Schizosaccharomyces pombe: one gene and its partners. The protein of the gene in region 4 purifies or fractionates together with the protein of the main gene of each other region. This does not show direct contact. Each region holds a gene or a part of one and is shown on either strand. Other genes may lie near its edges.

The links.
Region 1: the proteins of red1 (region 4) and brr2 purify together in Schizosaccharomyces pombe (affinity purification with mass spectrometry, with the first as the bait; 2 studies listed by BioGRID). This does not show direct contact.
Region 2: the proteins of red1 (region 4) and cbc1 purify together in Schizosaccharomyces pombe (affinity purification with mass spectrometry; 2 studies listed by BioGRID). This does not show direct contact.
Region 3: the proteins of red1 (region 4) and rrp6 purify together in Schizosaccharomyces pombe (affinity purification with western blotting; 2 studies listed by BioGRID, with this or other methods). This does not show direct contact.

Annotation. Positions count from the first base shown.
Region 1 is NC_003424.3:1,458,322-1,468,198, reverse strand, and holds brr2 (U5 snRNP complex subunit Brr2), read left to right. Parts: upstream 1-2,919; 5' UTR 2,920-2,939; coding exon 2,940-9,470; 3' UTR 9,471-9,754; downstream 9,755-9,877. Other genes in the region: Tf2-1 (retrotransposable element/transposon Tf2-type), read right to left, coding at 1-2,352. UniProt on the Schizosaccharomyces pombe protein: Involved in pre-mRNA splicing. May be involved in endoplasmic reticulum-associated protein degradation (ERAD) and required for growth at low and high temperatures. Required for pre-spliceosome formation, which is the first step of pre-mRNA splicing.
Region 2 is NC_003424.3:3,225,882-3,232,654, forward strand, and holds cbc1 (nuclear cap-binding complex large subunit), read left to right. Parts: upstream 1-2,628; 5' UTR 2,629-2,651; coding exon 2,652-2,902; exon of another isoform or gene 2,903-2,951; coding exon 2,952-5,043; 3' UTR 5,044-5,517; downstream 5,518-6,773. Other genes in the region: TRAPP complex subunit Trs120, read right to left, coding at 1-155, 197-362; tda3 (FAD-dependent amino acid oxidase), read left to right, coding at 1,048-1,099, 1,161-1,502, 1,575-2,311; isocitrate dehydrogenase Idp1, read left to right, coding at 5,655-6,773. UniProt on the Schizosaccharomyces pombe protein: Component of the CBC complex, which binds cotranscriptionally to the 5'-cap of pre-mRNAs and is involved in maturation, export and degradation of nuclear mRNAs.
Region 3 is NC_003424.3:608,189-614,839, reverse strand, and holds rrp6 (exosome 3'-5' exoribonuclease subunit Rrp6), read right to left. Parts: upstream 3,993-6,651; 5' UTR 3,955-3,992; coding exon 3,688-3,954; exon of another isoform or gene 3,630-3,687; coding exon 1,563-3,629; 3' UTR 1,502-1,562; downstream 1-1,501. Other genes in the region: MEK kinase (MEKK) Mkh1, read left to right, coding at 1-1,342; spo20 (sec14 cytosolic factor family, phospholipid-intermembrane transfer protein Spo20/Sec14), read right to left, coding at 4,681-4,956, 5,020-5,142, 5,339-5,641, 5,690-5,848.
Region 4 is NC_003424.3:5,069,610-5,076,960, forward strand, and holds red1 (protein Red1), read right to left. Parts: upstream 4,290-7,351; 5' UTR 4,264-4,289; coding exon 4,119-4,263; exon of another isoform or gene 3,841-4,118; coding exon 3,780-3,840; intron 3,580-3,779; coding exon 1,853-3,579; intron 1,809-1,852; coding exon 1,603-1,808; 3' UTR 1,322-1,602; downstream 1-1,321. Other genes in the region: ASTRA-associated protein 1 Asa1, read left to right, coding at 87-1,193; protein mcp3, read right to left, coding at 5,527-7,351. UniProt on the Schizosaccharomyces pombe protein: Promotes the exosome-mediated degradation of mRNAs containing a DSR (determinant of selective removal) signal sequence from mitotic cells.

The DNA of each region.
Region 1 (9,877 bases), 3.6 Mb from region 4:
TCGATGGTCTGTTAAAATTTTGAAAGGTTCGATAGTGGATTCTAAATAGTGTCTCCAATGTTTGAGAGACTTAATGATTGCAAGCATTTCTTTGTCCGATACGCTATAATTTAATTGTGCTTTAGACATCTTTGCTGAATAGTATCCAACAGGATAGTATTTATCATCATCATGTTTTTGAGACAATACGGCTCCTACAGCGACATCTGAAGCATCAGTTTCCAGTAGAATCTTTTTACTGAAATCAAAGTGTCGTAGCACCGGAGGAGAAACTAAACATTGTTTAATGTTTTCTATCGCTTGGGTTTGTGTTGGTGTCCATTTCCAGCGTACATCCTTTTTCAAAAGATTATTGAGTGGATGTGTTAATTGTGATGTCTTTGGAATGAATTTCCTAAGATAATTGACAGAACCTAGAAATTGTCGTAATTCTTTACGATTCTTAGGTTGCTTCCATTGTAAGACTTTGTCTATATTTTCTTGACAAGGCGTAAATCCTTTTTCCGAAATGTGATACCCTATAAATTTTACTTGTGATTGGTGAAATTCACATTTTGCTTGATTGATAATTAAGTTCGCATTTTTCAATTTCTGTAGAACGTCTTTAACATGTTTTACATGTTCAGATTCCGATTTTGAATGAATTAAAATATCATCCATATAACATACTACATGTGATTCTTTGGCTTCACCAAGTATTGTATTGATAAAGTATTGAAAATGTGCTGGAGCTGTAGATATGCCATAAGGCATTACTAGATATTCAAAAACTCCACGAGGACAGCGAAAAGCAAGTTTATGTTCATCTCCTTTTCTTACTCGTATCAAGTGATAGGCACTTTTGAGGTCAAGTTTAGTAAAAATTGTAGAACCTTGTATTTTAGCAAGTAATTGTTCAATAAGTGGTAACGGATATATATTGGGTTTGACATACTTATTTAAAGGTTTGTAGTCAACCACCATTCTCAAGGTGCCTTCCTTTTTCGGAACGAACATTACTGGACAGGCGTTAATGGCTTTAGATTCTCGTATAATTCCACTTTTTAATCCTTGATTAATTTCATCATTCATAGCTTGCATTTTTCCCGGTGGTAGCGGGTAATTTCTGATAGGTAATCTGTAGTTTTCTTGAGTTAGTTCAACTTCAAATTCTAACCCTTTTATTGGCTTTGGTAGCTTTTCCGTATTGGTTTCTGCAGTAATGTCTTTGAATTCTTTATAGATATCTGGTAACTCAGGTTCCTTGACAATATTTGAAACTTTGTTCATTTGAGAGAGCGTGTGTTTACTGCTAGATATTTCAATGTTATTGTCATATAATGTTGTGAAGGAGATAGCAGCTGGATGCGAAAATTTCTTTACAACCAAGAATTCTGTTTTGATTGATATTCCATTTAGACTTATGTTAAGTTTTATTGTTTTGCGATTAATCTTATTTGGATAAACTCCACCATATATCACACTTTTTGACCAGGGTCTGGTAGGCAGTTTATGTGCTCGAACAGTTTCTTCTGTTATAATATTTGCTTGAGCGCCCGTATCGATTAGACAGGGTATTGAGCACTTGAAGTCTGGAAGTTCAGCTTGTAATACCATTTCGTAACGTTTCCTAGTATGATTTAGGAATTTGTTAGATGAGTATTCTATTCTCGAAACATTTGTCTTCCTCAGGTTTCTGCTATTAGTGGTGTTATTTTTCTTTGAAAGGGACTCTTTTCCTAGATTTTTATTTTGCAGTTGAAAACGCTTGTGAGTTTTACCATACGAGGCTGTTCTTTTGTCCTCTAAAAAGTCATAAATTTCACTGATTTCTGATTTCCAGTAATTTCTTTCCTTTAATTTCCTTAAGGAATATGGCAGCATCCATAATATAAACAAGCGAGTATGGAAATCATCAACATTTGCTTTTGACATGAGTTTCCTTATAAATTGAACTTTGTCCAATTGATTTCTAAAACCTTCAAATGTTTTAGTTAAACGATCACCTTTGTTGGATCCTTGTACTTTCCCTGTTTGTCTGAGTAATTCTTGCCATGTAAGACTTCCATTCTCAGAAAACATGCGTTCAGCGAATTGTTGCTCTAATTCTTCTAGGTGATTCAATGTATACTGTCTTTTAGTATGCTCATTTGGGAATAATGAAGGGTATTCAGTAAAGTGTTGATCAAGTTTTGAAATGTAACTTTCAACATCCTTATTAGGATCGAATTTCCCTATCTCTGGTACATGCTTCGATAATATTTTTGCAAAAAGGTTTATTAAATGTTCGTCTGATGTTTGAATTCCATCCAAATTCTCTGGTCTCCATCGTTTTGCTCTTGCTTTCATATAACGATAATTTGCGTAGGACATTGTATATGTTTCCCTTTGGGAGATTTCAAAAGGGATAACAGTCCTTCCAAAGTTCTTTCTCCTTTGAACCCAGAAGGAGAGAAATATATATATTTATGATATATATTTATTCAATAATTCCTTTTTCCTAAAAGGAGTTAATTGTAGATCACAAGAGTTCAGTTATTGTAAGCTACGCAGTTTGGTATCTGATTTAAGGATACGTAGAACTGCGGTGAGCTTTCCTTGTGATCTATTATATTACAATACACAGGTTGTATAAGTAGCAACTGAGTATAGGTATTGTATTAACTGGGTTATAATGTTACCTATCACTAATATAGCTCATAACTGAACTGAGGAACGAGGTTCAGCAGTAGCTCTATTTATAGTATTCAGATAATATTGATCTTAATAGATTATCATTAAGATCAATCTCCATATCGTATCATACATGGTACGATATATAATTAGAACATGTGACATATAGTGATACTCAACGTAGTGTATTATAGCGTAGTGTAGTATTGCTGACAGAAATGAACACTTCTAATACCTCGAAGTAGACGAAAATTGAAAATTCAGTTTATCCTCCGCCACTCACAATCATGTCGAGTGCACATCCTAAAGGGGACTCGAAAGAGCCTCCCAAACATGGAAATAGTAAGGAGAAGCCAAACTATGGTCAATCACAGTATAGTTATTCTGCAATGTCAAATTTGGTTACGCAGGCTGATCGAAGATTTGTGTCACGACGTGATGCTGAACCTACAGGCGAACCGGAATCTCTGGTAAATCGAGTTAGTATTGCAGATATGGGTTCTAGAGCGAGAATTGAAAAACCTAGTACCCTTCCTCTCGAATTGACGCAGGAAGTTCAGGAGGTCCGGTTACCTCGTAAAGATGCAGAATCCTTAGAAATTGGTATACGGCAACCTGAACGCGAAAAGCGCTCTTCAGCGATACTTAAATATTTTGATTCTTTTGAAATTTTGAAATATAATCCTCTAACCGACGAGACCCGAGAAGTTTATGATTATATCTTGAGTTTCATTCAACAATACCTTGGCGATCAGTCTCCTGAAATCCTCCGTTCTGCTGCTGATTTGATTATTGAACTTCTTAAGGATAGTTCTTTAGATGAACAAGGTCGTAAAAAGCAAATAGAGGAGGTTTTGAGTACTGAACTCCCACAGGATCGGTTTTCACAGCTCGTTAACTTGGGAAATCGCTTAACAGATTATACAGTTGAGCAAGAAGAAGAGTTAAATGAAGAAGGCGTTAATGAATCTGGCGTACCAGTATTGTTCAATGAAGCCGATGAAGAGGAAGAAGCTGTTGAGGCAATGGAAGAGGATGAAGTGGCAGAAGATGAAGACGTCGTCTTAGAAACTTCCATATCTCAAGAAGAAGAGAAAAAGAATATTGAAAATCCGGATACAGAGGTTACATTTATTTCTGCTGATACCAAAAAAGTTACCGAAATACCCACTGTTCATCCTCGTGAAATCGATGCATTTTGGCTGCAACGAGAAATAGCAAAATATTTTGCTGACGCCGTCGTTTGTCAGGAAAAAACAAATCAAGCGTTTGAGGCACTTTCGGCTGATTACGATCTCGGTGAATTGGAAAATGAATTGATGAGTATTTTTGATTATGAACATTTCTATCTTGTTCAACTTTTGACTAAGAATCGTTGGACAATAGTTTCGTGTACAATGTTAAAACGCGCCGCTACTGATGAAGAACGCTTAGGTGTGGAAGAGCAAATTCGTGCTGCTGGTCGGTCTTGGATTCTCGAAGCTCTACGCCCTGGTGCTATCACTATACCTGATGACGGTTTAAATGAATTAAATAATAATGTTGTTGAGAAAGCTGAACCTGCGCCCGTTTCTGAAATTCCACTTTCGAAAACTTTGACTTCCCATAAAATTGTACCTAAGCACCAAGTTGATCTAGAAAATTATGTGTTTACTGAGGGATCACGTCTCATGTCTAATAAAGCTGTCAAGCTACCTGAAGGCTCGTTTCGTAGGACTGGTAAAGGGTATGAAGAAATACATGTTCCTGCCCCCAACAAAGCCGTACTTGGCGCTGACGAGCGTCTTGTAAAAATCAAGGAACTGCCTGAATGGTCTCATCAAGCTTTTCTTAATACTCAATCTTTAAACCGAATCCAAAGCCATCTTTATCCTATCGCTTTTGGTACTGACGAAAACATCCTTTTATGCGCTCCTACTGGTGCTGGAAAAACAAATGTAGCAATGCTATGTATCCTTAACGAATTACAAAAACATTTACGTGAAGATCTTAGCTTTAACTTACAAAATTTTAAAATTGTTTACATTGCTCCCTTGAAGGCGTTGGTACAAGAGATGGTTAATAATTTCTCAAAGAGGCTTACTCCATACAATATTCGAGTCGCAGAGTTAACTGGTGATAGTCAATTGACTAAACAACAAATTAGTGAAACTCAAATAATTGTAACCACACCCGAGAAGTGGGATATTATAACTCGAAAAGCTAATGATTTATCTTATGTCAATCTAGTCCGTTTAGTTATTATTGATGAGGTTCATTTGCTTCATGATGAACGAGGTCCTGTATTAGAATCTATAGTTGCTCGTATATTTCGCCATCAGGAGGAAACTCTTGAACAAGTTCGATTAGTAGGTTTGTCTGCTACACTTCCTAATTATACCGATGTTGCCAGTTTTTTACATGTCGACCCTAAAAAAGGGCTTTTTTACTTCGATTCGACATATCGTCCATGCCCTTTAAAGCAAGAATTTATAGGCATTACAGAAAAAACACCGTTTAAACGAATGCAGACGACTAATGAAGCTTGTTATGAAAAAGTTATGCAACACGCTGGCAAAAACCAGGTCCTCATATTTGTACATTCGCGCAAAGAAACCGCTAAAACCGCTCGTTTTATAAGAGATAAGGCACTAGAGGAAGAGACCATCGGTCATTTGTTACGCTCTGATGCCGCATCCCGTGAAATTCTTCGGGCTGAAGCCGACTCTACCAGTGATGAAAATTTGAAAGATTTGCTCCCATATGGGTTTGCCATACATCATGCTGGTATGCGACGAGAGGATCGCCAAACGTCTGAAGACCTTTTTGCCGATGGTACTATACAGGTACTAGTGAGTACGGCAACTCTGGCTTGGGGCGTAAACTTACCAGCGCACACAGTGATCATCAAAGGGACCCAAGTTTATTCTCCTGAAAAGGGTATCTGGACAGAACTCTCTCCTCAGGATGTTTTGCAAATGCTTGGCAGAGCTGGTCGCCCACAATTCGACACATATGGTGAAGGAATTATCATTACCGCCCACTCTGAGTTACAGTATTATCTATCACTAATGAATCAGCAGCTTCCAATTGAGTCTCAATTTATGCGCCGTCTAGCTGATTGTTTAAATGCCGAAGTATCGTTAGGAACTGTTCGTAGTATCGAAGATGGCGTAGACTGGCTTGGTTATACATACCTCTATGTTCGAATGTTACGATCCCCTGCCCTATATAGCGTCGGCCCAGAGTATGATGATGACAAATATCTTGTTCAAAAAAGAGCTGACTTACTTCATTCAGCTGCCATTTTATTAGAAAAATGCAAGTTACTAGTGTATAATCGTCAGAGTGGTACGTTGACCGCTACGGAATTGGGAAAAGTTGCTGCAAGTTATTACGTTACTCATAACTCGATGGCCATATATAATCGTCTTTTAATGCAGACAACATCCTTTATCGAGTTATTTCGAGTCTTCAGTTTTTCTGATGAATTTAAGCACATTCCTGTCCGTGAAGAAGAGAAAGTTGAACTCGCGAAGTTGCTGGAAAGAGTACCAATTCCTATTAGGGAAAGATTAGATGAACCTGCTGCCAAGATTAATGCCCTTCTCCAATCATATATATCAAGACAACGCCTGGATGGATTTGCACTTGTGGCAGACATGGTATACGTTACGCAATCAGCGGGTAGAATTATGCGTGCAATATTCGAGATATCATTGAGACGTGGTTGGTCATCTGTTGCAACACTCTCTCTTGATACATGCAAAATGATTGAGAAAAGGCTTTGGCCAACTATGAGCCCCCTTCGACAGTTTCCCAATTGTCCTTCTGAAGTAATACGCCGCGTTGAGAAAAAGGAATTTCCTTGGCAGCGATACTTTGATCTGGACCCTGCTGAATTAGGAGAATTAGTAGGGGTGCCAAAAGAAGGGAGGCGTGTGTACAACATGGTTCAGTCTTTTCCAAGGTTGAGCGTCGAAGCACATGTTCAACCTATCACAAGATCGCTTGTGCGGGTCGAACTTGTTATAAATTCTCAGTTCAACTGGGATGATCATTTAAGCGGCACTTCTGAAGCTTTTTGGATCCTTGTAGAAGACGTGGACGGGGACCGATTGCTACATTATGAACAATTTTTCCTTCTTAAAAAATACAAAGATGATGAGCATATTGTAAATTTTACAGTACCTTTGTTAGAACCTCTTCCTCCTTGTTACTTTATAAAGATAGTTTCAGATCGATGGTTACACTCGATAACTAAGGTACCTCTTTCATTTCAGCGCCTGATAATGCCAGAAAAATTTCCTGCGCCAACACCTCTTCTTGATCTTCAGAACGCCCCGGTCTCTAGTCTTAATAACCCAAGCTTCATTTCCCTCTACCCTAATTTTAAATTTTTTAACAAGATTCAAACACAGGTGTTTAACTCTGTTTATAAAACCAACGATAGTGTTTTTATTGGTGCTCCCAATGGAAGTGGAAAGACTGTTTGTGCCGAACTTGCTTTGTTACATCATTGGAGTCAAGAAGATTATGGTACTGCAGTTTACATTGCCCCAATTCAGGAAATCGTTGATCGTCGATATGAAGAATGGTATGGCAAGTTTTCTGACCTCGGTGATGGGAAAGTTTTGGTAAAATTGACGGGTGAGCGTTCACAAGACTTGAAGCTGATACAAGTTGCTGACTTGATATTTTGCACGCCATCGCAATGGGACTCATTGTCGAAGAGATGGAGAAGTATGCGAAGCATTCAGAAAGTTGATTTTTATATATGTGATGAATTACAATTGCTTGGTGGATTTTATGGTCCATTATACGAAATAGTGATCTCACGGATACGGTACATGGCAGTACAATTAGAAAAAAATATCCGAGTGGTTGGCCTTTCAGTATCTGTTGCTAATGCTCGAGATTTGGGTGAGTGGCTTGGGACTAGTCCACAATGCATATTTAATTTTAGTCCTAAAGACAGGCCTAATCCTCTTACTATTCATTTGCAATCATTCAGTATTACTCATTTCCCTTCCCTTATGTTGGCTATGAGCAAGCCTATATATCGCAGCTTGAAGAACTTTATTTCTCAGAGAAAGTCTACTATTGTATTTACTCCTGACAGGAAAGTAGCGAAACAATTAGCTTTTGATTTAGTTACATTCAGTATGGCTGATGAAGATGAGTATTTGTTTTCGTTAATGGAGAATGAAGCTTTCAATAAAGTTGAAGATGCTGCCTTGCAGCAATCATTGAAGCATGGTATTGCTTATATTAGTGAAATCACATCGTCCAATGATCAGAATATTGTACAATATCTTTACCGTCATGGACTTATCAAGGTTTTGATAGCTTCTCGCGATGTTATTTATTCCTTAAAAGCAAAATCAAACGCTGTTATTGTGATGGGTACTCAATACTATGATGGCAAAGAACATCGTTATATTGATTATCCTATAAGTGAGTTATTACAAATGCTCGGGTTTACTGCTAGCATTGGATCAAGTGAGCTTAGCCAGGTTATTCTTATGACTGTCACTACTAAGAAGGAATATTACAAGAAATTTTTAAATGAGCCATTACCCATGGAAAGCCATCTTCAAGTTTGGCTGCACGATGCTTTCGTGTCAGAAATATCTACGCAAACCATTGAAAGCAAACAAGATGCTGTAGATTGGCTTACATGGTCGTATATGTACCGGAGACTAGTTGCCAATCCTGCCTATTATGGTCTTCAAGATATCACTCATGAGTCGGTTTCTGAATTCCTTTCGGATCTTGTAGAAACAACCATGAATGATTTGAGTGAGGCACGCTTAATCACTGTAGACGATGAGGATGATAGTTGTGTCGCATTAAATTTAGCAATGATAGCTTCTCATTACGGAATTACATACATTACTATGCAAACGTTTGCTTTGAGCTTGTCAGAGCGCACGAAGATGAAGGGATTACTAGAAATTGTTACATCAGCAGCAGAATATGAGCAACTCCCAATTCGAAAGTATGAAGATATTGTGCTGGAGCGAATTCATTCCCGCCTGCCTGTTCGCTTAAGTAATCCTAACTATGAAGATCCTCATACGAAATCATTTATTCTTCTTGCAGCTCATTTTTCTAGATTTGAATTGCCTCCTGGTTTAGTTATAGATCAGAAATTCATTTTGACTAGGGTACATAATCTTCTGGGCGCTTGTGTTGATACATTGTCTTCCGAAGGCCATTTAATAGCTTGTATTAGACCAATGGAGATGTCGCAAATGGTTACGCAAGCTTTATGGGATCGTGATAGTCCTTTAAAACAGATACCCTATTTCGACGACGCTTTAATCGAACGATGCAATAAAGAGGGTGTTCATGATGTCTTTGATATTATCGATTTGGATGACGAAAAACGTACTGAATTGTTACATATGGATAATGCACATCTTGCCAAATGCGCAGAGTTTATCAATAAATATCCGGATATTGACATTGATTTTGAAATAGAAGACTCTGAAGATGTTCACGCTAATTCACCCTCTGTGCTTATTGTTCAACTAACTCGAGAACTGGAAGAGGATGAAGAAGTTGATACGACTGTCATTGCTCCTTACTTTCCAGCTCAAAAAACTGAACATTGGTGGCTTGTAATTTCGGATGACAAAACCCTCTTGGCAATTAAGAAGATTACCTTAGGTAGGTCCTTGACTACCAAGATGGAATTTGTGCCCCCGGCAATGGGAACTTTAAAATATAAACTGAGCTGCTTTAGCGATTCTTATATGGGTGTGGATTATGAAAAAGAATTTGAATGCAACGTTTTGGAACCTTTGGACACAGAAATGGAAGACGGGGAATAAGGTATTGTGCAAAATATGGATAATTCCCAAATTAAAAATTTTGACTTGAGGGTCAAAAGAACTGTTAAATAATTATTTTTTGAATTCATTGTATATTTATTTGCTAATTAATGGATGGTTTGATTCTTTAGCTTTTCTTTTTCAGCAAATTTATTGATGCCATCAGCGTGTGCAAATTCTTAACAACCAAACATGCATTACTAGGTATGCAATGATTTCATATGAATACATGAACATATGTATATATTTATAATTAATGAAGTCAAATTTTGATTTTCAAATAATGCGAAGATAGATTTTCATGTTCACTTAGGAGAATTGTTTCAGTGATGCTATTGAAAGGAGAGGTGTAGCGAGACCTGTGGTAATGTAGATAGTTAAAGTAATTTTCAAATGTTTTAACCTGA
Region 2 (6,773 bases), 1.8 Mb from region 4:
TTCTTGTTCCTCTGACCCATCTACAATACCAATAAGAACGAAAACGCGCCGAAAATATTCAAATTCTTCTAGTAGAGCTTGTTGATCATCAAGGCTGGTTAGGAAATTGTACACCAATCTGCCCAACGGAAAAGCCAAAGGATTGAAAGAACTCGCTATTAAGATTAGTCAATAATCATAAAAATAAGAAACATACATTTTCTAGTAGCAGTAGCTACAGGGACATCACTCAACTGAATATGACTTACTCTGCGGAGTAATTGTAGGTAGGACGAGAAACTTTTTCTTCTAACACGACCAAAAGGAAGGACTAATGATTGAACTCTGGAAGGAGCAACAAACGAAAAAAAATCAAATTCCATAGCATCTCCAGCAATGTAATGTTTTGGAGCACGTACTGAGAACAAAGTGCTTGAATACCATTTAACGGATTACATCCATACCATCACTAATTTATTTTGCATATTTCTGTTGATTGTCGATCATAAGTCGGTAAAATAAACTTTTCAAGATGATATCGCTTAACAATTATCATTGTTGTGAAATGTCTAATATTTGTTATGCTTTGGAAATACCATTCTGCATATACAGCTGTACAGCTGTTTTCAGTAGATTATTTGGAATCAAAATATAATTACAACTCAATGAACTGGTTGCAGTAATTTTAATTAAGGCATGTGTAAATAATATGTAAACTATCTGAAGAATGTGAATCTGGCATTTCAAAAATTTAAAAATCCGTTTGTTTATGCGAACTTGACTTTATAGATTAGGAGGAGTATTTTGTAATTTTTTTCCTTTTTTACAATCGTTTGGTATTCATGAAAGAATCGTATATCTCGCCATAGCAATTTATGAAAGGCATTCTGAATGGCAAAAACTGTTGAATATTGAACCGTTTTGTTATTATTATTATTGCTATTTATTTTATTCTCAAAATGGTAAAAAAATAAGAGAGATTGAAGGAAATACTGGTGAGGATAACGTAATGTTTAGAAGCGTTACAGCAAGATGATTGTGTTTCAAGTCAACTTTCCAACTTCAAATATGAGCGCTACAAGTAGAGAAGGAAATAAGACAAAGATAGGAATAGTAGGAGGTAATTTTGGAGAACAACAGTTTCATAAATGATGAGTGAGCATGCTGACGATGATTTTTAGGTGGCATTATTGGAATTTGTACGGCGTTTTACTTAACAGAAGAACAAGAATACAAAAAAGGAGAATTGGACATATTTATATTTGAATCAAAAGAAATAGCAGGAGGTAGCTCCGGCATTGATTCTGCAATCTTGACAAAACTGTGCCAGAATGAAATCATACAGCCACTTTCAACTCTCGCTTTGAAGCTTTATGAAGGATTGGATAAAAAATTTGATGGGAAGAAAAACTGGGAATATAGGACTGCCAATTCTTGGTTTTGTAAGATGAAATGGGACAATACCAATGTTGCCAAAGTTCCCGATACTTTGCAATGGCTTCAACGAGAGCGCATGCAAAAATGTAAGCTCATAAGTGCTACCAAAAAAAAATAATAACTTTATTGTATAAGTCATATAGAGACTAACCATTTAGGTTCTAGTATCGGTTCCGGCAACGATTTTGCAATGATCAATCCAAAATTGTTTTGTCAATTTATGGCAAAAGAAATAGAAAAACGAGGAGTAAAGTTTATATTTGGAAGTGTGAAAGAGGTTAGTAAACACCATATTACATACGTTCCAAAACAAGAAGCTGAAGATACAATAATAAAAGCACAGGTGCATAAAACGCTGGTGAGTGCTGGGCCTTGGACTGGTTATCTATTACCATTTACTGGTATTGCAGGTCTATGCATTCCCATAATTCACCTATCGGTAGGAAATTTTCCCGTTGGCGACAGCATTGTTGTGTGTTGTTTAAATACCATGGGTAATCTAAACATTTGCAAAACAACCGAAATTTTCAGTAAAAACCGGGAGCAGCTTATTTTTATGGGAACTCCAAAATTCCATTTGCTGCCAAAAGATAGTAATCGATGTTTTTTTAATCCTTTTGAAATTATCGAATTGAAAGAAATGACCGATTTGGTGCTCTCGGAGAATACGAAGAGTAACTACTTAGACGCATCTTTTAAGTTCCTTCCTACCAGTAGAATAACAGGTATCCCGATAATATCAACAACCAAGTCTGGTGTATTTGTTGCAGCGGGTCACGCCAACTGGGGGATAACTCAAGCTCCTGCCACGGGTTTATGTATGGCAGAAATGCTCCTTGGCAAGGAAAAAACAAGCATAAACACAGATCCTTTTCACTTAAATCTCGGTGAATGAGGATTTCAAATTATATCCTCTAATTTTTGTTTTAATTGTTTGTCAAAAAAAACGAAGGACTCATTCACTGAAAGGTGAAAATATAGAAGCAGAATGGATGCTTATTCCTTTACCGAAATAGAATATTACAGTGTTGTAAAATTTTCTAATCATATTTATTAAGGTTTTCGTTTTTATCGCATTGGAAAATCGATTTTCTTTTTTTTTGTTTTACAATTTCCATCTCGACTTAGTATACCATTCGTTACCTCTAAGTTGATTGTTACTTGAGAACACTTGCTCGTGTTTTTACAATTCTGCTATACGCCAACAACAGTAAGACACTAACATTCCTCACAAAATGTCTTCTTATCGGGGATCAACTCGACCCAGAAAGAGGACGAGAGAGGGAGAGAATTATGGATTTCGTCCCCATAGAGGAAACTCTCAAGAGCTACTTGCAGCGCGTATAAAAAAGGATATTACCTTTTTGGCGGATCCTCGAGGAAATTCAGTAGCTGCTGATGACATTAATTATGTTGCTATGTCTCTTAGTCGTGAAGCTAATGATCCTGAAACCATTTCAACTATCTTAGATTGCATTCAGACAACGTAAGTGATAATTTATACTGTCCCTTCAGAAAACTAATTTAATCCTTAGTGCATTTATCATTCCAGTCAAAATACCTCATTTGGCTACATTAATTATAAGAGCCTCATTAAGGGTTCCTTTAATCTTAGAAAAAGCAGCTGCGTATTTTTGTTTACAGTATTTTACGAATTTAAACTCCTTTCTTTATTACGAGGCTAAAGTCGATCTACGAATGCTCATTTGCATGTCATTTGCACTTCAACCAGGTACCCTTAAGCCACTATTTTCATTACTGGCTGACGCTATCTCAAAAGAAACCAAACCCAGTGTCTGGGGAGATAATTTCCTGCGCATAATTTTGATAAACCTTCCATATTTCATCGCAGCTAACAACGATCTCGGTAAAAAGGATTTTGCTAATGAGATACTGGATCAATGTGAGATTTACGTTCGTCATAGGAAATCTTCGATAACTCTAAGTAATCCCCTTTCAATACATGACAATCTTTCAGAGGAGGAATTGGACTTACTCTATAAACAACTAATTCTATCTCGGGAAAACGACTTTACTTTTCCTTATATATCTCAACCCTGGAAGTTTTTTGAATCTGATTTCGTTCATATTGTTCCGGTTAGCCCAAGTATTCCTGAATGGACGTTTCAGCCCACTCCTCAGCAAAATGAGCTACCTTCCTTCAAGAGATTTTTTGAGCTTTTTAATAACTTTGAAATTCGCACGACTCCTGACGCTTCCGACGTTGCAGCCAGCATATTTCGTGATATAAGTGTGGATGTTATAAACCATTTGGAATTTAACCGAGTTGAGGCTGCTCAAGTTCTTACAGATTTAGATGTTTATTTTACCTACAAAACTTTTGCTCTTCGTGGTACTCCAGTAAATGAATTACCAAATTTAGATCCATCGGAATCACGTTGGAAAGCAGAAGATATCATAGTTGAAGCTGTTTTGGGTGAGCTTCTTGGTTCACAGAATACTACGTATAAACCTGTCTATTATCATTCGCTTTTGATTGAATGCTGCCGTATCGCTCCTAAAATTTTGGCTCCAACTTTTGGAAGGGTCATTCGGCTAATGTATACCATGTCTTCTGATTTACCTTTACAAACACTTGATCGATTTATTGACTGGTTTTCACATCACCTTAGTAATTTCAACTTTCACTGGAAGTGGAATGAGTGGATTCCTGACGTTGAGCTGGACGATCTTCATCCAAAAAAAGTTTTTATGCGGGAAACTATTACTAGGGAACTTATTTTAAGCTATTACACAAGAATTTCTGACTCACTCCCTGAAGAGTTACGTTGTTTGCTTGGCGAACAACCGTCGGGTCCCAATTTCGTGTACGAAAATGAGACTCATCCGCTATATCAACAGTCAAGTCAAATTATCGAAGCATTGAGATTACATAAACCGTTAGAAGAACTTGACATTATTTTGCAGAGCGAGGAGATTCAAAACTCCGAGACATCTGCTGTCCGATTAGTTATGTCTTGTGCTTATAGCTTGGGTTCGAGATCGTTTTCGCACGCATTGAACGTGTTCGAGAAACATCTTAATACATTGAAACATTTTTCTCGAAAATCATTAGATTCCGAAATAGAGGTTGTTGATGAACTTTTTTCATTTTGGAAATTACAACCGTTCAACGCAGTTATGTGGCTAGATAAAATGCTGAACTACTCTATAATTAGTATTACCTCTATTATTGAGTGGTTGATCAAGCAAGACGTGACTATATGGTCTCGTAGTTATACGTGGTCACTTGTTAACACCACTTTTAATAAATTAGCAGCTAGATTGCGGCGTTCGGTTTCTAACAAAGAAGACTCTTCGCTAATCAATGAAGCGAATGAGGAAAAGGAAATTGTCACGAATTTACTATTGTCAGCTTTGCGCGCCCTTATTTCCGAAAATGCTGAAAATATATGGGTATCTCATTGGCTTAACCTTATGTTAAAATATGTGGAATCAAATTTCCTCTCTGTTAAAAAGGACACGATAGAAGAAGCAAACGAGCCTGTTCAAGAAAATACCAGTGAGGAACAGGAAGACACAAAAATGCAACCCGTCGACGCAGTAGATGAGCAGCCATCAGAAAATAATCAAACAGCAGCTGATGCAACTAATGAGGAAAAATAAAGAAAGTAGTCTATAACAAAAATGAAGAAAGTGTTGTTTTGATATCAAAAAGATTAAACTGAAGAACTCGACTGGTAATCACGACGTTGTCAATCTGCTACAACGTTTGAACGTGGATATAGCTTATATTAAATATTTAATTATAACGTCCCATTTTCATAAGCACTTGTAGGACGCTGCTGCACTTCACAGTTAAGTTACTAGAAACGAAGATTTCAATTTTATAGGTAACAGGGTTATCAGATCTATCAGAGGTAACGGATATCTAAAGATAAGATATTTTACGATCGACTTGTCGGTTCTAGTTTTGCGTAGTGTCATACTATGTGAGCGAATGGATAAGCGAAATGTTCACTCACATCTCCGATATCAGAAGTGACTAAATCTTTTCTCAGTTTAACGAAAGGATTGCTAAAATGTAACAAAATCACTACTGCCATCAGTAACTTACACTTAACCAACCACTTTGTGCTATTGTAAGAAGTAGTGAGGAACAGAGGCAGTTTGGTGGATAGAACTAGGATTTAAGGGACATTTGCACAGCTACTCCTTCTCAACTTAGCTTCGTCGAATATTTCATTTACTTTAAAGGATAAAAAAACTGACACAATATGTTGGAAGTACGTGCTGCCGTAAAGGCACCTTTCAAGTTGGCTGCCGCAGGCCGTGGTTTCATGAATATGCGTATGGCTTCAAGCAAATCTTTTCAAAAGATCACTGTTAAAAACCCAGTCGTTGAAATGGATGGTGATGAGATGACGAGAGTGATTTGGAAGATCATTCGTGAAAAGTTGGTTCTCCCATATATGGACATTAAATTGGATTATTATGACCTTGGAATCGAAGCTCGCGATAAGACAAACGACCAAATTACTGTGGATGCAGCCAAAGCTATCCTCAAAAATGATGTCGGTATCAAATGTGCCACCATTACTCCTGATGAGGCTCGTGTGAAAGAGTATAACCTCAAGAAGATGTGGAAGTCTCCCAATGGTACCATTCGTAACATTTTGAATGGTACAGTATTTCGGGAGCCCATTTTAATCAAAAACATTCCCAAGTATATTCCTGGATGGACGAACCCTATTTGTATCGGGCGTCATGCCTTTGGAGATCAATACAAGTCAACGGACTTGGTAGCTTCAGGCCCCGGTAAGTTGGAACTTTCATTCACCCCTAAAGGTAATCCTTCTGCTAAAGAAACATACAATGTTTACGAGTTCAACGGTAGTGGTGTAGCTATGTCTATGTACAACACTGACGACTCTATTCGTGGATTTGCTCACAGTTCTTTCCAAATGGCTTTGCAAAAGAAAATGCCACTTTATCTTTCCACTAAGAATACAATTTTGAAAAAATATGATGGTAGATTTAAGGATACATTCCAAGAAGTATATGAATCTGATTACAAGCAAAAGTTTGAGGAACTAGGTTTATGGTATCAACATCGTCTAATTGATGACATGGTAGCCCAAGCTATTAAGTCCAATGGTGGTTTTGTTTGGGCATGCAAAAATTACGATGGTGATGTTATGTCGGATGTGGTTGCCCAAGCTTATGGATCCTTAGGCCTAATGACTTCTGTCCTCATTCATCCCAACGGTCGCACTTTTGAGAGTGAGGCTGCTCATGGTACTGTACAGCGTCACTACATGCAATACTTGAAAGGTAAGAAGACTTCAACCAACAGTATTGCCTCTATCTTTGCCTGGACTCGTGGTCTTGCCCAT
Region 3 (6,651 bases), 4.5 Mb from region 4:
GCCTAAAACTCCTGAATACTGTAGAGGTGATGACAGATCCATTAGTTTATCACCGTTATCTTATCGTTTAAGAAAGTCCAAACATATTCGTGAATCCCCACCGTCTTCAAAGGTTATCAATTCTGGTAACTGGGAAGTTCGTCCATCTGCTGATGATCTTTATGAGGATGTTGATCGATTTTTTCCCCGTTATGATTTGGATAAAGTACTTGTAGTGGACCAAAGCCGCATGGTTTCTTCCCCTTCAAAGGTATCGATACGTCCGAAAATGAAGTCTGTACGATTATTAGCCCGCGAAGCATCTGAAGCTCGGAAAGAAATACGACATAACGCGAGACGCAATAAATCTGGAAATCTTCTACGTCGATCAAGTACGAAACTTTGGGGCTCTAGGATTGTAGAACTAAAACCAGATACTACTATAACTTCTGGATCAGTTGTTTCACAAAATGCCACGTTCAAATGGATGAAAGGAGAATTGATTGGAAATGGTACTTATGGTAAGGTATTTTTGGCTATGAACATTAATACGGGTGAATTGATTGCAGTAAAGCAAGTTGAAATACCACAAACTATTAATGGCCGTCATGACCAATTACGCAAAGATATCGTGGATTCCATTAATGCAGAAATTTCTATGATTGCCGATTTGGATCACTTAAATATAGTGCAATATCTGGGTTTCGAAAAGACGGAAACGGATATAAGTATATTCCTGGAATATGTTTCAGGTGGTTCAATTGGTCGATGTTTGCGGAATTATGGTCCTTTCGAAGAGCAACTGGTCCGTTTTGTATCACGCCAGGTGCTCTACGGGTTGTCTTACTTACATTCTAAAGGTATTATACATCGAGATTTAAAGGCTGACAATTTGCTCATTGATTTTGATGGAGTTTGCAAAATTTCAGACTTTGGAATATCTAAGCATAGTGATAATGTGTATGACAATGACGCAAACCTGTCCATGCAAGGATCCATCTTTTGGATGGCACCTGAAGTAATTCATAATGATCATCAAGGATATAGTGCTAAGGTCGACGTCTGGTCCTTGGGATGTGTAGTGTTGGAAATGTTAGCTGGTCGTAGACCGTGGTCTACAGATGAGGCTATCCAAGCTATGTTCAAGTTAGGTACCGAGAAAAAGGCGCCTCCTATTCCTAGTGAATTGGTGTCTCAGGTATCACCCGAAGCGATTCAATTTTTGAATGCATGCTTTACTGTGAATGCTGATGTAAGGCCAACCGCAGAGGAATTATTAAATCACCCGTTTATGAAATGTGACGAAGAATTCAACTTTAAGGACACGAATCTTTACGACATGCTTTGTAAAAGAAAGAGCTAAATTGGTCGCAATTATTATTTATTACTTAGCGTTTCCTCGCAGGGGCATGCATTCTCAATTTCTTCTTATAGCTATTTATTTAATATTGAAATTAATTTTGAAAATTATTACATTATTATACAAACAAACATACATGATCATTTTCAATTTCTACAATGTATTTAAAAGTAAATTTTCATTTTGTCAAAATTGTTTCGTTTATTTAAAATTAAAACTGATATTAATAAGATGTACTCTTCCCGTCTGAAACCTTCCTTTTTTTGAGTTCCCTAGTATTTCGCTTTGGTAAACTTACCTTGTTAAGAGGATTAAAACCCCGTTTCCCAAATTTATTTTTTCCTACATCAGAGTCTAAGTCAGCAATAAAATTCTTTTGATTTTTATAATCAAAAGGTGCTTCATTGATAATTGGACTGTCATTAGAAACATGTTCGGCTTCAATAGTAAGTTTTCCGCTGTTCTTCTTTTTCTTCTTTTGCTTCCGTTTTTTTGACACTGAAGTTGAAGCTTCCGAAGGTTCAATATCTTCATTTCGCTCCTCTATGGGGTTTGAGGGTTCTTTATGATTAAGCTTAGAAGAATCCCTTTTTTGCTTGTTCAGCCCTAAATCCCTAATGACTATAGGCTCTTGTTTCTTCTCTCCATTCAGACTCGGGTTTGCAGCTTCAGTTACAGTGGACTGCTTTACATTCAATTCGGATTCAACATGCCCTTGAGTACAAGGAAGAGTTAATGAAAAAGGAATATTCTGGTTCACTATAAAGAGTCTCTCTTTACGAGCTTTCCGTAAATCATCTTGCGACTGTCCCTCAATCCAAAACGCAGATCCATTTGCCAGCAAAGTCTTTAGTTTACTTCTATTTTGTTTAGAAATCTCGAAAACACTGGAGTCAACTTTGTAATCACCCAAAGTATTCGATTCGGAAAAAACTGCTAGCGGTTGATTTTGCTTCTCAACTTCTTTAAATTGGGATTTCTCACGATCTACTTGCTCATTATACAACTTTTCGGCTTCTTGAACGACTTTAACGATATCTTCAACATACATGCGAGCAATTGGTGTCAATTGCTTAGAAATTGAAAACACATCAGCCGCTTCAACCGGTTTACTGGCGGCAATCGCAATAAGTAAACGATTTGGCAACACATAGCGAACACTTTCATCTTCTTTTCGGGCTACGGAATCTCTCCAATCGTGCAGTGCTCGATAAATCATCAAAGCTTCCCGTCCAATTATTTTAGAAGAGCCAAACTTAGTAAGTACATTTCTCCAGCCATCAGTACCAAGTCCATAAATAGGATCATAAGGCTCAAGTTCATACTTTCTAAGAGATATTTGTTTACTGGAATTGAACACTGATTGCATAAGATTTTCTTTTCTTTCAGCTGATTTTGATATGAGTTCATTTCGTAAATGATCCCAAATATATAACAAATAATGCGTATCAGATTGAGCATATTTTAACATTTCCCGAGGCAAAGGACGGATTCTCCAATCAGCCATTTGGTATCTTTTATCTGCATCATAATCACAATACTTTTGTAACAGAAAAGCCAGACCATGACCCTCAAATCCTAAAACTTTAGTAGCATAGTATGTATCAAATAAGTTTACAACGTAAAGCCCGAAATCTCTTTGCAGCCAAATGATATCCATAGTTGCACCATGAAAAACTTTAATGATATTTGGATTAGTAAAAACAACATTCAAAGCTTCAAGCTCTTCGCGGAGTTCCAAGGTGTCAACAATCCAATCTTTTTCTCTATTACTAATTTGCATTAGACAGACGAACCCTCTAAATGATCTGTAATCATGGTGTTCAAGATCAACGGCTATTTCTTTGCTGTTTTGTAATTCTTTTAGCATATCCGATAACTGACTTTCAGTACTAACCCAGATAGGTTCTGTTTCGTCGACAGAGCCAGTATCGATGGGATTAGACATTTCTGAAACCCATGGAGGATATACGCTATTTTGTATTTCTGGTTCATATGGATGTGGTAACGAGTTTTTGAGACTAGGGTCCAATTTGACTTGAGCGATAATCTTTTCGAGCGGTACTAACGAATGTGGTTTTTCAGTTAACTTCCAAGACCACACAAACTCCCTGGAATTATTAGGCTGTACTCGAAACCTTAATTGAGGCTTAGTAAGATGAGCTGCGTGAATAACCTTGTAGGGCAACTTTTCTTTCTTTGGTTTTTTATTGGCAACATCGCTTGTCGACGCATGGGTTTCGATCGCTGGCTTTTTTAAAAGTCCTTGAGCTTTATCGATAGAATAGTCCTATATTCATACGTCTTAGTTAAATAAAATCCGTTTACAATTTCAAAAATTCACTTACAGCTTTTTCAAAGAGTATGTCTAATGTGTCCGATACTTCTGCCCATCTATTATCTATATCTTCAACGTCCACAATATCCTCCGCCCGACTTCTGTCTACTTTAGAAAGAAGCAATTCAATTAATCTCATAAAACGAGAAGAAACACTTTTTATGTTTTCATTGAATTCGGTATCAATTGATTTATAAAACGGTATATCAACCTTTGCCAATTCAGAGCAATAGGCTGTACTATTCATTAAACCCTTAAACAATTCTGACTCATCCATTATGCTATTGTTTACCCTACTGGATCAGTAAGGTTTTTGGTTTGGTTCAGGAATTTTCAAGCACTTTTACCACACGCTCAACGAATTACCGAACTTGAATATAGACATCGTTAAAGTACGAAATACAAGAGCTATTTTTATATATATAAAATATTTTACACAAATGCAAAATCTTAGCAGAATTATGTAAAAGCAATTATTTATGATTAGTTCAAAATTGTGAAACTATTAGCAGGCAACTATAGAGAGGTCTTTTATAATATAGGCATTCAATTTTGATCAAAAAGTAAAAAAATAATCAAAGTAGATGAATTACAAATTTAAAAACTTCGGATAATCTAGAATGGATGAAACAATCAAATCAGTTGGATCATCGAGCGTCCTTTTTTGGAAAATTAATGAACGATATATGTATTGAGACCTTCTATAAGGATTAAGAATTGTAACAGCAACCATCCCATGATGTTGATGATGGATCAACACATGACTTTCGAAATAAAATATTTATATATGCTTCGATCTATATACGATAATTTCGTCGAATAGTAAACCGTAAGTAGAAGGAAGTACCTGAGATGCTGAGTAAAAATAGAACGAAGACCTTTAAGAACTAAAACGCAGAACAAAGTTGAAAGATCGGCAAAAACTCTACACACTATTACTCTTATCAAAGGACAAACCACATTCATCTATTCTAGCAATTAAATCCCGTTCGGAGAAAGAAGTCTAATTTTTGTTCATCCACTGTTCTTCATGCCATGGACCGGCGTCAGATAGTTCGCAGCCACCTGGACATTGGCAGTTTCCACCGAGTTTAGCAGGAAGATTATCAGCAGGGATTTGTTCGAGCAGAGCACTCTTATAGTTTGAGCCTAAAATATGAATTTTTTTGACAGTTGCCTCATCCAAAAAACCTTTGATAAGATTAAAGGCAGAAGAGAATCCCCAAGGAGCGTTAATTACATAAAACTTGCCCATCCTTTCGGGGTAATAATCTTGACTCTTTAACGTGTTAATACTTGAAAAAAAAAAAAAAGAACAAAAATTTCAACATTTTCAACTTACAATGCTTGATGCTTGACGAATGTAGCTGTAAACCGAGTGAATACTAGTAATACCAACACCCTTTAGATCCATGATTGTGCACGAAGTTTCAATCAAGCCTCCTGCTTTACGAGAACAAGCGGGCTGAAGACGGTTAATAAAGATGAAAAGAAATATCAAAATGAAAAAATATATCACAAAAAATTCAACACAGTAGAAAACCAAAAGTTTTTCTATTAAAAAGCCGAAAAACCAGCCTTATATGGAATATGCAAATCCAAAGGAAAGGTTTGATTATGAGAATTACTGGAGATACATTTAATCATTTGAATTTACTTACAAACCGTTTTAAAGCAAGCATTTCATATTCATAAACCAAATTTTGCATCATACGCTCGGGAGTCGTGATTTGGTACAACTTCTTCAAATCAATGTTACCGAGTTGCTCAACGTATACCGGACGGCCGTCGATGTCAGTTTTATGATAAAATTGAGGGTAATATTTGGAAACGGCTTCTTTCTCATCATAATGAAAGTTTTTGATAAGATCATCAACACCAAATTCTTTTCTCCACTTTTCGCATTTAATAAACATTTCCAGCGACTGTTGCAAATTAAATTTACGGGCTCTCAAAAAACGCAACTAAGAATCCATTAGTACAAACACAAAGTTTCCTGCTGTACAACTTACTAAAGTGGCATCGTCTAATCTTTCCGTGTATCCAAGTTTTTGTAACTCTAAACGCATGCTATCTAGCGTAGCTTGCTGTGTAGAATTCAAATGCCCTGGGTGCCCTAATGGAGCATTTGGATTAGTTAGAGGATAAGGATCCGATATAGTTTCTGACATCTTTTTGTTTAGACGATGGTTGTAGAGAGAAGACCTAATGACCCAGTCTGTACAAGATGTATAAAGGAAAAGGAAGAACGTCAGCGACCTTAATACTAGTGGTCATCAGCCGTGGGGGATCAGTCAAGCGTGGGGGCCTTTTACCTACTACCGCAGGAACCTTTGTTGCCATGCTACACCCAACGCTATTGTTATATGTGAGTATGAGGATAAACTTCAGTGTTAAAAATCAGATGAGAGGAAGAAGCTCCTCGTATGAGGTTTAAATTGTGTATAACCAATTTTTCAACTTGCATGAAAAGTGCGACAAATTTGAGATGCAGAATGGCCTTCAACGAGGCGTTGAAGGTAAATAAAACATGGGGAAAAAGTGACAATTTAACTTTGTGGAAGCATTTTTTCTTTACCAAAAAAAACGAACGATAGATAATGTTTATTTTATTTAAGCCTTTGAGTGCGCTTGTGGTGATTTTCTGTCATCAATATTTATGCACCTGACAGCTTTGAAAGAGTAAACCAGGCACTAAGAAGCGTTATAGTACATAGAGTATAGAATATGTAAATGGATGATCATATTGCGATTTTGAGATTGTTGTCTATGTAAAAACGGTATAGGAGTATCGTAGCTGGATATTTATGTGAAGTAAAACAGTTCAATTTTATGATTGTTCAGTTTTCGTATTATAAATGAGGAGTAGAAAATTGTCATAGAGTTGTGATTAAAAAAGAACTTTAAATAAGCAAATATAGTAAAGGAAAAGAAATTTTATTGCAAATGGAAAAATATTTCGTGAATAAGCAAT
Region 4 (7,351 bases):
ACAGTTCAATTTGTATTGTTCCCCTATCCTCTCAGCTTGATGATTACAAATATTTGCTCAAAGTGGATGCTTTAATTTAAATTTTCATGGTAGTTCCTACTCCATTTTACGTTTTACGTGGTCATTCTAGCAGTGTCACTAGTGTACTTTTTGACGCTAATGAATACTTATATTCTGGTGATGAGGCAGGTTTTGTAATTTGTTGGTGTCTTACTAGTATGCGACCAAAATGCGCCTGGAGAGCTCATACAAAAACCATATTGGGCATGCAAATAGTCAAGGGAGGAGCCTTATGCACTCACGGTAGAGACTGTCGTCTCGTCACTTGGAAAATCGATTTTAATTGCATGACCGACAATTTTATGTCATTATCAAAACTAGCTGAACTTCAAAATTACGGTCCTGAAGCCTCTTCTGAAACTGAGAAGAGCAGCGCATTTATATCTATTCATTCCAATATCGTTGTTAATTCCCTAACCTTTTGCCCCTTCTCTTACTCTCCTCAATCTAAAATAGTAGTTTTATGCAATACATTGAACTTTGAAGAGCTTGATGTATATGATGATGAATCATTGTATCATCCTCAAACACACAAAGAGGATTGCGGAAAAAGACTACAGACGAGAATTCAGCCAGAAGAGTCTGTTGGTAAAACAGGATCAGTAATGTCAACCTCAGTAACCGTTACTGACGAGAAGTATGTACTATTAGCTGCCGGTTACGAAAGCGGTCATGTGGTTCAGTACATATGTTCATTAGAAAATGTAAAGACTGTTACCCTCGATTTTAAAGCTGTTTGGAAGATGGTTTACGCCTACAAAAGTCATTCTCAACCAGTTTTATCGGTAGAGTACGCTGGTTCCAAATTATTTTCAACGGGTGCTGATGACTGTATATGTCTGCATCCTACTCCTTCATCTATAGCTGATGATCTTGGTAGTCTGCCTCATCCTATATTTAGAAAGACAAAGCATTGTGGACAACAAAATATTCGTATACGAAGTGATAACAAGATATTAGCAACTGCAGGATGGGATGGTCGAGGTCGTGTTTACAGCTGCCAGACATTAGCTCCTTTAGCGGTTTTGAAATATCACTCCGATGGTATTAATAGTTTGGCCTTTCATCCAGGCAGCAACGTGATTGCGTTAGCTAGTAAAGACACCAGAATATCTCTCTGGAAGTTGTATTAGGGCAAAAGTTTAGGACATTACAGTTACGTTTAATCCATCATCATTTTCAAGAAATCATTTACTTTTGGTTTGCAGGATTCAATTCATTCTTATTACAATACGCGCATTTTTATCAATAACCATTGAAATGATTTTAAACGTATTACATATATTAAATATATTAAATATCAGACTAGTAAATGCTTAATCTTCCAGTATTTTGATATCGCCTCAAATAAGATGAGCGATTCATATGCAAGCATAGAAAGTACGAAAGACATAATTCTAACCTGAGCTATATTAAGTAGTGACATTAGTTTTATAACGGCAAAGAGCCATTGTTTATGTATAGTGATGTTTATAGTACAAGGACGTAATTTTGACGGTCAAAATTTTTACAGTTAGTTTGATGTTGCTTGGCAGTTTCAATCTAAATGGAAACCTTTGCAACAGGAATTGTCATTCTCTCCGACTTCCAAAGATTATGATATTCGACGATTCGAGTAGCAACATCGACGAAATCGGTGTTCTCATCGGTATTTTTCATGACTATATCTAAACCGGATTTATAAGACTCTTTCTCAATTTCATCATTTCCTTCGATGTACCTTGATAAATCTTGTATAATTTCATCATCTGTATAAAGGTTAGTCAAAAATCAACAGCACAAATACCATAACCCGTCATTTTAATGTCGCGAAAATGCGACGCCTCGCAATGGTCATCATTACAAACACCACCAGTGGTTTCGTATTTACAGAAAACTTTCATCGGCTCTATCTTATTGCTGTAGGTAAGCGACCGATATTTCAACGGTACTCGCTCAACAAATTGTTGATTAAATCGATAAGATTTAAAGCGGTAAAATGGAGAGATATAATCGACAAGCGGTACCTTATCCTCAAAATCTGTTTCCGTCGTCCCATTTGGCGCGTTTGACGTTTTGGAAGACAAAATCTGTGATGAGTTCTCATCTGCTTGGGCGGAAACCTCGGTTATTGAGTCCATACTTAAATCAGATTCTTTAGGTAAACATGCAACATTTCCTTTCCCTTGTTGTTCGAGTAACTGTTTTTTCCTAGTGTACAATTGTGTTAGAATCTCAGTTTTTGATTTCACCAAAGTTTGATATTTTGTTAGTTCTCCTTCCTCTTTTTCTATTAAGTTATTTAAAATGTCAATCTCGGATTTTTTAATCTGTGCGGGATGCTCTTCATGTACCACAGCAATTTGTTCCGTCTTTCTGAGCCAAGGTGCCTCTAATATCTGCTCAGTTGTATCAGAATTCGTAGTTGCAGCACTAGACGAGGCTCCTGACGAGCTAATAGAAGGTCCAGCCTCCACAAAATCGGCTTTGGAACTAAGATCAACGACTTTTTCAAAGGTATCCAAGTGTGTTTTAGATTTGTTGTCAACCGCAGCTACAGGGACAGATGGAAGTTTCATATCGGCGGCAGAAGTTGGCGATCTATACGGTTTTTTATTAGACTCAAGCCGTAAGATCAACTTTGTCATTCGCCGTATTTCCTCTTCTTTATTGCGAAGAAGCGCCAAGTAATCTGAACGAGACATAGTAAGACCATTTTCACTATTTGAGGGGGGCTTTTCTAAATTAGATTGTTCTATCTTCGAATTCGAAAAGTCATCTCCATCATCATCGGAATCAAATTCAATAACTACATTTGGAGTCGAGGAGCCAAAAGGCTTCGAAGAAGATAGCCAATCGTCCTGCTTCAAAAGTGGTAAAGATATAAGATTTTTTCTTTCAGGAAGGACGGTAGGTGTACCATTATCGCCAGGTAATATATGTGTGTCACTAAGATTACTGTCAATCTTACGAAGTTTAGCAGACCTAGCAGCTTTGTCTGCAGATAGTGTCAGACTTCCTTGGGAGCTAGCAGAAGAGGAATCCAGTCCGAGCTTTAAAAATAAAGTATGAACAACCGAAGGCTCGATGCCCTCAGCAATAAAATCGTTAAAGCGCACTCCTACTTCAAACAACTGACTCACAGCTTTCTCTGCTTCCTTTTGATTAGTAGTCTTGGAATAATTTGCATCAGAATTTTTAGATGTTGAAAGAAAAGGTGATTTTTCTGATTTTGCCTTTTCACTCTTTTGATAAGAAGTGTCGGATGATAAAGCCAATGGTCGGCTAGTAGCGGTATCTTTAAGAGCCCGGTTTTCTTTAAATGACTGGGAAGTATTAGAAGAATCCGATGTTTCAGAAGACTTCGCCTTATTTCGGTTGTTGAATGAATTCTCAGATGACCGTTTGCGCTTCGAAAAGGTTTTGTTTGAGGAGGCGGTTTGAGGAAAGAAAGGAACTGTATTTGGTCCAAACATCAAAGCTGGAGGAAGCATAAAAGGTGCGCCAAATGGAAAAAAATTCGCGTTAGTTCCAGGAAATCTAGTGTGTTAGTTAGATAAGACACCTGATGGGTTGAATGTATTCAAGTTCGAAAAAAAAAAAGGAAATTTTACAAATTGTCATTCTCGTAATCCCAAAGTTGGAGTTAAACCGTACAGAACAGCATAACTAGCGGAGAATAGCTCCGTAGAAAAGATAAATAAGCTGCACTGACAGGTTTAATCAAATGCCATGCTTACCTATCAAAAGGAGGCAACTGAGGAATTTGCTCAGGAAAGGTTGGTACTTTCATTGGCGGAACTAAACTGTTAAAAAAACGAATTCATTTAAACGGTGAGAAAATTGAAAAGATGGATATCAAAACATAATTTCCAAATACATATAAAAGGCTTCTGCCAGCTTTATTTTTCTCTCTTTAAAAAAAAAAAAGCCACGCATATAAATAGAGATATGAAATGTTCTAAACGAATGCAAGCAATCGTCGAGGAAAACTCAATAAAATGCGAACAAGCCTATAAAAACAAAAAGTCTCGTTTCACAATATATTTGTGTAAATTTCCATCTCTAATCTACCTTACCTGAATTTGATTGATCTATAACAGGATCGTCTTCGCTAATTTCGCCATCTTCTTTGTCAGAGTCATTACTCTCATCTTCTTCATTCTTCTTTTTTGATTCTAAAGCCTTTTTTCGCAACTCATCGAGATTTATTGACCGGGACATTTATTTACAGCTAAAACTGGGTTAGTAGTGCCAAATTTCAACAGCAGATGTTTTGTTTGTAGTACCAGTTAAGACAGTGAAACGCGAAAAACATTAAATATTATTGCACATAAAGTTTTTTCACCTCAGAGCATGTTATTCCCTAATAAAGATATTGATGGTTGAATACTTTCTTATTTGTTCTAATGAACTGTCTGAAATATGCACTAAGACTCTTTATTTACAAAACATTCGGAATTAGTCTATTGAACAGGTATACTGAATGTAGCAAATATATTTTCAAACAATTTTAAAAAGTAACACAAGAACAGCTAATATGTTCAGCCTTATTGGCTTGCTCATACGAAAAGTGTAGCGGTGATTCAAAGCTTTCGCATCCAATTATCTTTTGCTAGTTTACAGCACAAATTTACGCGAAGGTGAAATAACATTTTTGAGTTATCAAATTATAGCGGGAAATCTGCTTTTAATGGACTAGTCAGTAATTTAGTAGCGGCCGCCTTGTCTCATAAATAGAAACATAGAACATCTGGAGAAGTTCAAGAAAAATAGCGAAAATGAGAAAACTGTGTTTTAAACCTTTGTCCAATAATGATAATGTTTTCTACTAGCATATCCTTCTATGAGCACATGAGAAAAAGAAATATTCTTTCGCTCAGTTCGGTTTTAACGTTGGAACAGTCTTTGGCCTTTATTAAAAACTTGAAGTTCATAAACTAAAAACAACAAAAACATTGTGCTTTATGCAAATTTCGTGTGCAATAAAAGTTCGGGTATCCGTTTATGATGTTTTAGCACGAAAGCCGACTATTGACAGTAACACTGGTAATAGCTCTTTTTACTAAAAACCCTCATCGAAAAGGTAGTTCCGTATCTGATTACAAGGCCGATCGTGCAAAAATACTAAAGACCGAGGAATATGTAATCGTGCAGTTTTATAACATACTCTTCCGTTGCTTAAGTTATTAATCTGAATTTAGTCTGTTTAATCCGTTACATGAAAAATTTAGCCTTTCAGGAGCTTGAAGAAATGATTTAAGATCAAAACGCTTTCATGTAATCACCTAACAAAAATGCTAGATTTTGTTATTATTTATTATTGAAATTCCCCCATAAACCTCGAAATTTTAAGACCGGTCAAGTTATCATTTGAGGCTAACAGGCGGCCTTCAAGCATTTAAAACGAAAGACCGTATTCATAGATTATTTATTGGTAATCTCAATGAGGCTAGTACCTTTGATCTGTTACTACTTGCGAACATACTATTTGTCTCCAAATGTTTGCTGTAGTGTATGCTCGCGCTCCCTCAATCGTTCAGAAAGTTCAAAGCAATGCAATTTCAATTCAGAGTTTACTTTTTCCAATTTTCGAACTCGCTTTGTTTCTCTCATCAACTGCTCTTGAAAAACTGACCGCAGTGACTTTTCGGATTTTGCGTTCTTACCTGGCATAAACTCCTCACAAGGAATTTGTTTTTCTTCTAAGAAGATTTCCTTGTAAGCTTCAAGTTCTAAAATAACTTTTTCAAGATCTTCTTGCTTCATCTGAAGTTCATTTGCTAACATGCGTTTGGATTCGGCCAAATAAGTATACGCATTTTCCAATGAATCGTATACCATCCCCTCCTTGAAGTGCAGTTCAGGTACTACAGCATTATTCTGTAAGTCAATGTTCAATGACTCATCCTTTTGGACAACAATATTTCTCACGTCAACATTTTCTCCCAATAATTTTCTGTTTTTATCCATATCGCGCAGAGCTATGTCTGACATCTCTTTAAATACGGAAACTTTCTCACCAGATGGGGACTTAGTGATTGAGATTTTTGTGTTGTTGGAAATAGAAGATGAATCATTAAAGCTTTTGACTAATTTACTAACCCTTCCTGAGATAGAAGTATTATTTTCGCTTTCTTGCCCTAGTTGCTCAAAGTCTGAACAAGAAGGTGATCTGCAATCAGTATTTACACCGATAAGCTTATCTTCAAGTAACGACTGAAGAGTAATTTTATAATTCCTTAACTCGATTTCCTTCGTTTGGTATTCTTGATCCTTTTGTACAAACTTTTTTGTTATATAAGTCAGCTCATCAGAAAGTGTATGTTCATCAAGATCTTCAAGCTTTGTAGATGGATTAATTCCAGCTTGAGAGCATACGTTTTTGTAAACAATGAACAAAAGATTAAATATTGAAATTCCTTTTCGTACACTTTCGGAAATTTGGGATTCGGTAGCATTAGATGAATCACTTTTAGCGAACGATGGCTCGACAAGCTGTAAAAAAGAATAGAGGTGCTCTTTTTTATTAATAAATGATTGATAAGAGTTTAACAAACTGGCTAATTTGGATTCACTTAACTCCAATTGCTGCTTCAATATCTCATTCTCCTTATTCGCGGTTTCCAGGTGTGCTCTACCTTCAGAAAGTTTGGAGTTTACTGAATTTAACTCTGCATTCTTTTCAGAAATCTCACACTGTAAACTATTGTTAGTTTGACTTAAAGTCTCCAAACTGTCATGGAGCTTCTCAATAGTTAGCTCTTGATCCCTGATTTGGCTTTTTAAAAATGCAGAGCGCCCGATTTCATCGTCAAGATTTCCCTTAGTGTTTTTTAAATCCTTCTGTAATCCATCCCGTTCATCAGTCAAACTAAAGACCGTGTCAAATTGAGAGAGTTGCTCATCCTTTAGGCATTTCATTTCTTCATCAAGTCTCAAAACCTTACTTGATTCCACTTCAAGATTGTTCTTTAATTCATTAAGTTCTTCCATAAGATATTCATTTTTTCGAAATACATTCTCCATATCCTTTATTGACGACTGTATTTGTTCTTGATAAAGTAGATCCCTTTGTTCACTAACAGAAGACTGAAACTCCAATAAGCCTGCTTTTTCTCTAAGACTTTCGGAAAGTCTTGAAATTTTTAATTCTTTTGCTCGAAAATCATCATCATAATGACTAATTAATGCCTCCTTGTTGTTTAACTTTTGACGCGCTTCTTTCATCTCGGTTTCATAATTGGCGTTCATTTCTCTCAGATTTTTTTCATCATTTTTAACAGTTTCTAGAGCTTCTTGCAATGACTGA